Bombyx mori: one gene and its partners. The main gene of each other region encodes a partner of the protein of the gene in region 2 in a complex. Links are inferred from orthologs where the notes say so. Each region holds a gene or a part of one and is shown on either strand. Other genes may lie near its edges.

What was found.
Region 1: thioredoxin-like protein 4A (region 2) and protein AAR2 homolog share a complex: the UniProt entries of both Homo sapiens proteins name them as parts of the U5 snRNP complex. The link is inferred for Bombyx mori from reciprocal best matches to the Homo sapiens genes TXNL4A and AAR2.
Region 3: the proteins of thioredoxin-like protein 4A (region 2) and polyglutamine-binding protein 1 are in contact, whole or in part, in a crystal structure (PDB 4BWQ), measured with the Homo sapiens proteins. The link is inferred for Bombyx mori from reciprocal best matches to the Homo sapiens genes TXNL4A and PQBP1. Residues at the interface, in NP_006692.1 of Homo sapiens: Gly11, Trp12, Val14, Asp15, Ile18, Asp68, Phe69, Met72, Tyr73, Glu74, Met82, Phe84, Asn87, His89, Met91, Gly97, Asn98, Asn99, Asn100, Lys101, Leu129; in NP_001027553.1 of Homo sapiens: Gln241, Gln242, Arg243, Pro244, Tyr245, Pro246, Ser247, Pro248, Gly249, Val251, Leu252, Ala254, Asn255.

What each region holds. Positions count from the first base shown.
Region 1 is NC_085115.1:3,919,454-3,923,165, forward strand, and holds the start of protein AAR2 homolog, read right to left. Parts: upstream 2,824-3,712; 5' UTR 2,721-2,823; coding exon 2,518-2,720; intron 2,245-2,517; coding exon 2,042-2,244; intron 1,620-2,041; coding exon 1,362-1,619; intron 1,016-1,361; coding exon 889-1,015; intron 640-888; coding exon 222-639; 3' UTR 1-221. UniProt on the Homo sapiens protein: Component of the U5 snRNP complex that is required for spliceosome assembly and for pre-mRNA splicing.
Region 2 is NC_085120.1:13,294,664-13,298,422, forward strand, and holds the start of thioredoxin-like protein 4A, read right to left. Parts: upstream 2,393-3,759; 5' UTR 1,583-2,392; coding exon 1,505-1,582; intron 1,214-1,504; coding exon 1,077-1,213; intron 418-1,076; coding exon 204-417; 3' UTR 1-203. UniProt on the Homo sapiens protein: Plays a role in pre-mRNA splicing as component of the U5 snRNP and U4/U6-U5 tri-snRNP complexes that are involved in spliceosome assembly, and as component of the precatalytic spliceosome (spliceosome B complex).
Region 3 is NC_085131.1:6,063,894-6,067,482, reverse strand, and holds polyglutamine-binding protein 1, read left to right. Parts: upstream 1-1,399; 5' UTR 1,400-1,678; coding exon 1,679-2,497; 3' UTR 2,498-2,957; downstream 2,958-3,589. UniProt on the Homo sapiens protein: Intrinsically disordered protein that acts as a scaffold, and which is involved in different processes, such as pre-mRNA splicing, transcription regulation, innate immunity and neuron development.

The DNA of each region.
Region 1 (3,712 bases), on a different chromosome or scaffold from region 2:
AACTAAATGACTATATAGACTATATAGAACTAAAAATATTGCCGCAGCCGCGATCTCCTCGATTTCCATCATCGATACCTAGACGTCTTAACATATCAGTAGACAGTCAGTAAATAAACGTTCACGATTGTGTGGAGAGTTGCCCCATCATGGCGGCGATGATGGACGATTGTTTGTTGGCCTATCATGGCCGATTGTGAAGAGGAGCCATTAAATATAATCTATTGAGTTCCATCGTCGAGTTTCACTACGACCGGCCTCTCGTCTTCATCGTCAGCGTCTAGACCAGTGAAATCCCATTGCAATTTGTCGGTCAGGTTATCTTTGAAGCGTTCAATCATCGTCAAAAGTCTGCCGTCGACTTTGCTTACGTAAGCCGTGCGGAAAAACTCACGGAGTTTCTTGTATACTAAATTTTTATTCATCACTATATCGGCTAAGAAATCTTCGGGCATCTCTTCGATTTGCACCTCAATAGTCCTAATGAAGTGAAAGAAAACACTTCTGTATTTGTGTATGGCCTCGTCACACGAACATATGAGTATGACGAGGCTCTTCCAGTGCTCAAAAGCCTCTAGGGAGTGCCCAATCAAAAAGCACAAATATGCGAATTGCAGTTCTCCTATGATGTGTAGAGGTCTGAAAAATAAAACACGTATATAGAATTCTAGATTTTGGCTTTTGTGCATTTAATCATGTCAAGAGTCGAGACTTGACTTTAGCTTCCTGATAACTTCGGCACTGAACAATGCTTAAAATATCCATCATAGACATTCAACTGTATATGTAATCAACATATGAATGTAGTATGTAGTCAACAAAATTTTATATTAAGATACCCTCAAATTTCTCTTAAAATACTAACAGTTAATAAAAATAGATACTTACTCATTATGCTGTGCTATCATGAGCTCTAATGAGTATGACTGATCTAAGTAATGTTTCGTGATCTCCTCTGGTGTTGCATCCGGTGGATATTTATCTTGAGGTATTTCTGTGAATCTCATAGCAGCTCCTGTAAAGATTCACATTTTAGAATTCTTTTATTTTTTTTTATATTTTTTATTGCTTACATGGGTGGACAGACGACAGGCTCACGGCCCACATGGTGTTAAGTGGTTACTGGAGCACATAGGCATATACAACATAAATGCCGCCACCCACCTTGAGATATAAGTTCTAAGGTATAGTCAAACCGAAACACATTACTGCTTCACGGCAGAAATATGCAGGCTGGTGATAACCTATCCATGCAGCCTCACAGGTCCTACAATCAGTAATTAATTAGGCGTGTAGTTTTATTTTAGTAGATATATAGGGGAAAAATATTATTTACATTTATCTTTGTTTCATTAATTTACCTGGAACTGGTTTCAAATCTGGTAACAATGACTTTTCTTTCTCTTCCCTTGTGATTCTTTTAGCTCTCTTAGCACTTGAGTGTCCGGCAATCTGTTCTTCACTGAAATCCTCTTTAGTGGGAGATTTTTCATTCTCCTGACTTATTGAACTAGATGAAGACTTGACTCCTCTTGGTCTTTCTGCATCAGTCATCGATAAAAGCTCAACTGATGCTCTTATCATTCCACTTTCTGGTGCCAATTTTGCTGCTAGTTCAGCTGACAATAGAAATTAAACTTAGTACAGATTATTGATATAAGATTCTGGAATAACACAATATTTTAGTTTCTTGTATGAATTGTTTTTTCTGATACAAGCCTAAGTTTACGGGGCTCAAACCAGGAGTGTTGCTAACACTGCCTCTAGCAATAGCAGTGCTTCGCAGAATCTACCACCGTATCGGAAACGCAACCCCCTGAGAAGATCCGGTGAGAAACTCAGTAGACTGTGTCTATGGGTTAATTTTACTCATTAAGCCCTTCATCACAAGCGACGGGTTCGGCGAGGACAGTGACCAGTCTCAATATGCTCCACTATGCCAATATGACCAGGCTCATAATGTGAACTACCACCAACTTCAACAAGACTAAGTTCATTCAAGATTTGTAGGGCAAGTATTTCTTTAATTGAAGACACCAACCAGTGATCTGTGAAGACAGTAACTTCCACTTCTGCCATATTTCATATGGATATGGAGCAAGATGTCGGTCCAAATTAAATAAATTATCTTTCAAACGTTGGATGCTCTCATCACTGATCTCTTCCTTGCTCAAATCTTCAGTTTTTTTGTCCCACATTTTCACAAGAAATTCTTTTTTGTGAAAGTAATGCATGAAGCCAGATCTGGAATTTAATCAAGAAAAGTAATTTATTTAGGTATGCAAGTAACAATAATATTGATATCAGTCTCATATAAGTTCAATAACAATACACGAAGAAACTTAATAAGCTGTATACATATATTTTGTGCTTCGAATATGTAAATTCTGAGTGTAAATCTGATATCGAATTACCATATTAAAATTAAGTGATAAGATTCCAAAAACAACCTCCAAACTTGAATTCCTTGTATAGTACTAGGATTGTTTTTTTAAAGTATATATAAAACGCACTTACCTAGGTGCAATATCGCCAGTACCTTTACTGACAGCAGAGTAATGAACATAATGTAAGCCTGGAGGAATCATTTTAACGCCACGAAAATCTTCCTCCGTGTTCCAGCACTGCATATCGATGCCAAACTGGGTTTCTGAAGGGACTCTCAAGAATACAAACGTGCCCCCTTCCACTAGCAGCTTTTTCGCTGTTTCTTGATCCATATCCAACTATGCTCCCGAAACAATGAAATATGAATTAATGGTATGATAAAAATACATACAATCAATCAATCAATGTGTTTACATTCGTGAGTGTCAAACGTCAATGTCAAAATCTCGACGCGTGCCGATTTGAATGTTTCTGAACGTGAAAGGTAGGTACAATGCAGACTGAAGTGAATAGATTTTTTAATAATTTTCTTAGGTTTGAAATAATGTTTTTGTTCTCAACTATGTAAAACAATGTTTTAAACATTAAAAGCACCATAACCCAATACGATTGTATTTAACAGTAACTAAGTGTCTGTCTGTTATCGAACTAACCCCTGTATAATATATATTGTGTGCGTCTTATTTGTTTTAGGTAAATCAACAGAGATCCTGTCATCAAATATTCTTAGCTACTCACTTAATTCTTAGTGAATATCTGTGACCTTGCTCGTTCACGAAGCCCGCTATAGAAAGCAGAGTATTAAATACACTTGACATTGGCGAAATCTAAAAGGAAACGCCATAAGCCTAAGAGATAGATAGATAGATAGATAACTAAGTGATGTGTCCTTCACTTGTTCTATTTGTTTATTTTTTCAGCATGGCTACCTACGACTATCTTTATAACTCAATTCATTTGAAAAACTAAGTTTATAAATATATCATGTTTAATTTTCGGCATATTATTATTAAGTTAATTAATTTGTTATTTTAAATCTGTCTGCTATCTTAGGATTTGTTTTTCTACATGAGCACAGAATCACGCTTTTTATAAAGTAATTTCTCTAAAACATAAGACAGGAGGGTAGGTACATTAATTTATATTTCTGTAACGCTTAACGGAGCTACTCATAATAGAACAGAGAATAAGTCAGCAGAGCGTATATGAAAAACTTCGACGAAACTCAAATTTGATGAAATATATTGATCGTACGGACTTCTGAGACTCCCACCTCACCACTCGAATCTTAAAACGGAAGCGCATCTCAAAGCGTGCCCGCGTC
Region 2 (3,759 bases):
AAAACTTGTCATTTATTCTACTTTTACTTTGTTTAATATCAGGAAGAACAGCATAATTCCAAAAACACATGAGTTATAATGTAATATGTATAGTTCTTATTTTTATATAAAAAAAGTTACATTACTAAATTTATGATGACTATGATGTCAGATATGATTACAAATTACTAGACCATTCAGGTGGAACATTATTTTAAATTAAACTAATATCTGTATTTGGTAGAGTAATCTTTCGGTGAGACAACAAGACCTCGTCCTTTTCTTGCCCCTCTGTACACAGTTTCAATAATATCAATCATCTCCTGCTTGTCTTCGAGAGGCCAGTTGATTTTATTGTTGTTGCCAGTCCCCAAGTCAATCATTATGTGTTTGTTGCGGAAGAAGAACATCACTGTGCATGGATCGTATAATTCATACCTAGAAATAAGTTTAAATAATATTATTATAGGCCTTGCTTAGTCATTTTATATACTAGACCCTTTCTACTAGACTAGAACTTTCAACCTTTTTTACTTAATGATGTATTAACATACTCTATATATACATGACACCCTTAAATGCAAAGATTTATAGTTGGGAGTGATGGTTGTTGGTATTTACATCACTCATATGTAATACTGTTGTATGGTTAATATTTAATAAACAATTGTATATTTAACCAACATGTATCCCTGAGATGCAATTTCCCAGATCACCTTAAATAAAAATTGAAATATCGTATTTCTAATTTTCACAACACACTTGACTTGCAACATTCCAGTGATCAAGAACTGCTGTTCTACTCTAGTCTTAAAATCAACAATTTGAAAAAAATTATTAACAATGTAGATAATGAAATTCATTTACTGTATGAACCAGACTTATTAAGAATTCCTAGAAAACTCATAGTTCTTTGCTTCTTCACTTATGATACTTTTTTAATAATTAATAAAACAACAAATTTAATAATACAACATAATTTCCTTAAAACACTGGAGGTAGGAGGACTTGTGTATTCCACAAAGGTTTTAAGAAAACCTATCAAAATCTTAATTTCAGAAATAAATTTAGAACAAGTAGTTTTACGGTATACTTACATTTTATTAAAATCTGGAACTTCTGTAATGTCAACTAAATATATGACAGCAAAATTTTTTACTTTTTCCGCAATGCTGTATAATACTTCATCCATTTTCATACATGTTGGGTCCCAGTCGTGTCCAAACCTTATAACCTAGATATGTAAATTAGAATTAATTACATTTAATATAGTTGAATCATAGGGCAAGACAATTAGGCCACTAATTAAATAACTATTAACTGTTTTGGCTCAAAGCATTTTGTTAGTTCCTTTAATTCAAAATCTATTGTTTTTTATACTAGAAGGTTGAAGGTCTTGGTTTCTACTGCATTTATATACTTTAACAAATACCTATTGATGTAAGGTTAGAATATAATTATTATTTTTAGTCTTCAGATACTAAATCTCAGATTTCTACATTCTATGAATCTAGTTAAAACTCACCACTACACGGTCTTCTTCTGATAGAATGGCCTGATCTACTTGCCAACCATTGTGTAGATGTCCTAGCATATAACTCATTTTGCAAATAAACTACTTTACGTATTATTTCAAACAAACGATTATTCCTGTATTCTTTTTTCTGGAAATTGCTATTGCTATGAGCAAAATATAATCGTGTTGTAGGACCACTGAACAAATATTGATATTATTTTGCTCACTGAAATTTGCCTTTCACATCTAAGACATTCCAAAGTTATTTTATTCTCACATTTTGTTTCTCGTCACTGTTCACGTTTTCTATAGAAGTGTGTTCAAAAAGTTTAGAGCAGGCGTTGTCTTTTTTGTTACTTCATAACAAAAAGAATGTTCTGTGAAATAGAGAACTTTAAATTTATAATTATTTAATAATATGTAGGTATTAAGATATGACTATTCTATGAGTAAATTTACAAACACTGACTTTTACCAGGTCATAAAATACCTTAAAAAAAATCACAGACCACAGTATGACGTATGACAGTAGCAGTTCCATTTTCCAACAAGAAAGGCGGAGGTATCAGTCCATACAGCGTAATCTTTCATGGAATTATTCTGTTATTTATATCAATTTAATATGAAGTTAATAATGATATGGATGAAATGAGGTGAAGTTTATTTATTTGAGGCTTTAATGTTAATCATATATTTTATCGTTACAACTCTTATAGGTACAACAAGGTATTTAAATTAAATTATATAGGTATAGGATATAGGTTATAGGATTTAAATTAAATAAAATTAATAATTTTGTGCAGCGACCGGCGCGGCGCGTGCGCGTTATTCAATTTTTCTTTATCGACCCTCCGTATTTTTACGAATCCTGCGAGGCGTCGCGGCGTCGGTCGCACGGCGTTGTTCGACACTTTAGGGTTCCGCTTAGCGTGCGGGTGTTGTAACGTAATGTTACAACTGAAATCGTCTGCAAAATAAAAAAAGAAAATAAAAAAAACCTTAAAACAAAAGTATTTATGTTCAAAGCAGTTATTTTATCGATTGTACCGCTGAGGTGACAACAATAGTTCCCACCTCCCCCCGAGACGTAGGTTCGGCTGGCGCAGACACTGCGCAGCCGCTGCGCCGGCAGTCGTCACTAGAATCGACATCAACCCCACGAAAAGCACAGCGGTGCTCTTCAAAAGGGGTCGCCCTCCGAACACCACGCTGAGCATCCCCCTCCCGACTAGGCGCGTCAACACCTCCGCCCCCGCCATTCGCCCAATCACGATGTTCGACCAGCCCATACCGTGGGCCCCGAAGGTCAAATATTTAGGCGTCACCCTCGACAGTAGGATGACATTCCGCCCTCACATCAAGACGGTACGCGACCGTGCCGCCTTCATTCTAGGACGTCTCTACCCGATGATATGTAGGCGAAGTAAAATGTCCCTTAGAAATAAGGTGACACTCTACAAAATTTGCATACGCCCCGTCATGACCTATGCAAGTGTAGTGTTCGCTCACGCGGCCCGCACTCACTTAAAATCGTTCCACATTATTCAATCCCGTTTTTGCAGGATAGCCGTCGGAGCCCCGTGGTTCGTCAGGAACGTCGACCTCCATGACGACCTGGACTTAGAGTCCATCAGTAAGTATCTACAGTCGGCGTCGATGCGCCACTTCGATAAAGCGGCACGACACGAGAACCCTCTCATCGTGGCCGCCGGTAACTACATTCCCGATCCTGCGGACAGAATGGAAAGCAGTCGACGTCGCCCAAAACACGTCATCTCGGATCCTCCCGATCCACTAACGGTGCTTCTAGGTACTTCAAGTACCGGTCACCGTTCTCGTCGAACCCGTCGCTTGCGACGAAGGGCTCGACGAGTAAATTAACTCTCAGACACAGCCCACTGAGTTTCTCGCCGGATCTTCTCAGTGGGTCGCGTTTCCGATCCGGTGGTAGATTCTGCGAAGCACGGGTCTTGCTAGGGTTCGTGTTAGCAACGTCATCAGGTTTGAGCCCCGCGAGCTCAACTACAAAAGTTAGGGTTACGCTGAAATAGCCTCTCAAGGCTCTCAGCGTAGGTAGAAAAAAAAAGTGTGTGTGTCCGCTCCGACGCACGACTGGAGTTTACTGGATATAAATATAAATTTGTGTCAGTTGAATACAGTAAAATATGGAAGTTACGTATTCTAGTGAGAATGATCCGGGAGTTGCGGAACACGTGGATGCGGTAATTAAGTAAGTCTATATAATTCACTTTTACAATTAATAT
Region 3 (3,589 bases), on a different chromosome or scaffold from region 2:
AAATACGTACTCAACAAATGTTCACGATTGACTTCAACGGTGTAGGAATAACATCGTGTAATAAAAATCAAACCAGCAAAATTATAATTTGCGTAATTACTGGTGGTAGGATCTCTTGTGAGTCCGCCTGGGTAGGTACCACCATCCTGCCTATTTCTGCCGTGATGCAGCGTTTCGGTTTGAAGGGTGGGGCAGCCGTTGTAACTATACTGAGACCTTAAAACTCATATCTAAAGGTGGGTGGCGCATTTACGTTGTAGGTGTCTATGGGCTCCAGTAACCACTTAACACCAGGTGGGCTGTGAGCTCGTCCACCCAACTAAGCAATAAATTAAAAAAACTTCGAAGTGTTTGTTGCATTGGTATAACTGCCTTGTCAGACCGCCACCGTTAAAAATTTTTTGCGACAGAAACTGGTAATTCTCAGTCGTATCGTGAGTCAGGGACTTGGGAAAGATTTGGGATTGGAATAGATGAAGATTTGCATGAAGTACAAGGAATTAAAAAAATACCTGATGTGAATTTCAACCTTTGACCAATTGCGGGTTACTTAAGTGATGTAATTAATTTGTTTTTCAGAAACATCCAGAAACAGTATAATATATTAGGTATACAGATACACGGTTAGAATAACATTCCCAAACGGATATAAAATATGCTTTACTCGTAATCGTTAAATAGTATTGGGGAGGGCAGATTTGATGTATACGTTTGCGATGACCTGCCATCTTTCCCTGCTCGAGGTCATCATATTGTTCTCAACTAAGAAACTAGTTGAATTATAATGACAATAACCTAGATTGAATCATTTTTGCAGAGGTATCAGAGTAATGTGATTGAATAATGCTGTCAATTTTACTTTTTGTGAAAGCTTTTTGAACTCTAAAGAAGGAAAGAGTTAACGCTATAGGCTTAGTTCTTATTAACATTCATGTCACTTTTCCTTTAGATTAAGTGTTTTGACCTTCTACAACAAAGTACTTAAACTGTATGAGCTGTTTCTTTGGCCTGTACCATTGTACAATTAAAAATAAATTTGAAATGAAACCACAATGAAACCAAGTTCATGTTGTAGCTTCTCGGGATTCTCCAGAAAGTCCACTAAAAGTCATTAAATAAACACCATTTTACCGATATTAAATTTCATCCCATATCTCATTTTATTTAATTTCATGCCAAGTGATGAGTGTTCCAAATTAATCGACTTCCTTTCATTTTGCCTCCATATTATCATTTTTCATTATAAAATATACTAGCGACCCGCCCTCGCTTCGCTTCGGAAACTATAATTTATTATTGATATCTCCACTATTTAATGGATGTTATTATACATATAAACTTTCTTCTTCAATCACTCTATCTATTAAAAAAACCGCATTAAAATCCGTTGCGTAGTTTTAAAGATTTAAACATACATAGGGACAGAAAAAGTGACTTTATTTTATACTATGTAGTGATAAAAGATTAGGATATATGGTTATGATACCTTTGCCTTTCCAGTTGGAAAAATAGAACTGCTACTACTACCAAGTTCCTGTTGTTGTTGTAGATGTATAATTATGTGAATTAAGAGTGATTTTACCTAGTTTTCATTACGTTATAACGGGAATAAAATCAGCGAACACTCAAAAACGACCAAAGAAATATCAACGCTAGGCAAGATATACAACACAGCGAAATGCCTTTACCGCCGGCGTTAGCTGCTCGTTTAGCTAAAAGAGGTCTTTTGAAACAAAATGCAGATTCCACCGCTGTCGCATCTGTTGGTCAAATCAACGAAGAAATAATTGCAGAAGATTATGATAGTAAGCCTAACGAAAATGGAAAAGATGAGCCTTGGGAAGGCTTTGTCGATCCTGTCAAAGGCCATCGAGGATGCCCTAATAAAAGTAATATTTATCATGAATGTTCTACTTTTTGTATTAAAAGATGGAAGCAAGGTAAACTGGTACCGACTGAGACATATTTAGAACACAAGGAGAAAGTTTTAGAGCTATGGCCCTTGCCACCAGGATGGGAAGAAGTGTTTGATGAAGGTTATGGTCAACATTATTTTTGGAATGTGCACACTAATCTGGTTTCGTGGATACCACCCGGACATCCCCGTGCTGTGCCTACGGAATCTGCCGCACAATTGCGCGAAGAACGTCTGATGAAAGAAGGCGACGAAAGTGATGAAAGCAGTGAGGCCTCGGATCAGGAAGTTCCGCAGATTCAAAAAGATAAGAAACCTGATCGCCGAGAAAGAGAAAAGGAACATTCACATCATAGAGACAAAAAAAGGCTCAGGGTCAAAGATAATGACTTGGATCCAATGGACCCAGCATCTTACTCTGATGTACCTAGAGGTAATTGGACATCAGGTTTAGATACACATTCTAAAACAGGTGTAGATACCACAGCCTCTGGTTCACTCTATCAAATGAGGCCCTATCCAGCACCTGGAGCAATACTTGCAGCTAATGCAAAACAACATTCTCCACCACCTTCACCATAAGACTTTCATTAGATTGTTTGCTATTATAATACGTAAACTCAGACCTGGCAGTTTTCTTTACATTAACCAAATTAAATGAAATGGTTAGCTGCACTTGTTGTTCTTAATGAATTTGGTATGTAACATGTTTAATTTCTAAATGGGTAGAGCATGTAACCTACCCATTTGCAAGTCTTTTTAGCCTTCTCTGACATTTCTGAAGTTTTATGTATTTCTGCACGAAAGTATGCGAAGTAACAATTTATTTTTACAAAAATTCTTTTTTTATTACCCTTGTATGTAGAAGCTCTTGCTTACTATTAAGTACTCTCAACAAACCTTTTTTGAATGCCTGGCAAAAAACAATATTTTATAAATAGGTAATAATAGTCTTAGATATCTCATAATTCCAGATTTAGGTGTCAGTGAAATCAGATGCACATAATTTACAATACAAAGTAAAAAAAAAAAATTGTTGAAATTATGGTATTTTATTTAAACTTTTCCCATTGTTATTCCACAAATAATATGTTTTATGGACAGAATACAAACTGCATTCCCAAACACACCATTAACTGACGTTAGGCAGCAGTGTCTTTGATTGTTCCGGTTGATATTCACAGTGTAGGTACATATTTTTTATCAAATATCCAAACATAATTGCATTAATGACAAATTCAAGATGTGTAGACAGTTGAGCATACAGCCCATCTGCTGGCGAGTGGCTACCGTCGCTCTTGGACGCACCGCCAGGAACACAAGACAGGCTGTTGCCTATCACTGATTATTCTCCACAAACGTCATTTGAAGTTGGAGTAAATTATAAGTTTTAACATACAGACAATCAATTAAGTAAATGTGCTCTCACAGTATAATATCTTCCCACTGCTATATGAAATATAACTAGGTTTTCGTACACAAATTATAAGAGTTATTTAATAGGTAGAAATAATGAAATAAAATTCGTTGTGCAATTTTTTACATATATCTATAACACTTTAGTTACAATACAAAGTCATGTAAAAATGCAAGATATTTTATGTGATATTGTAAAAATGTTTCATTTTCAGAACAATCCCATTTTTATGCTTACATTGAAAAAAAAACAATTCA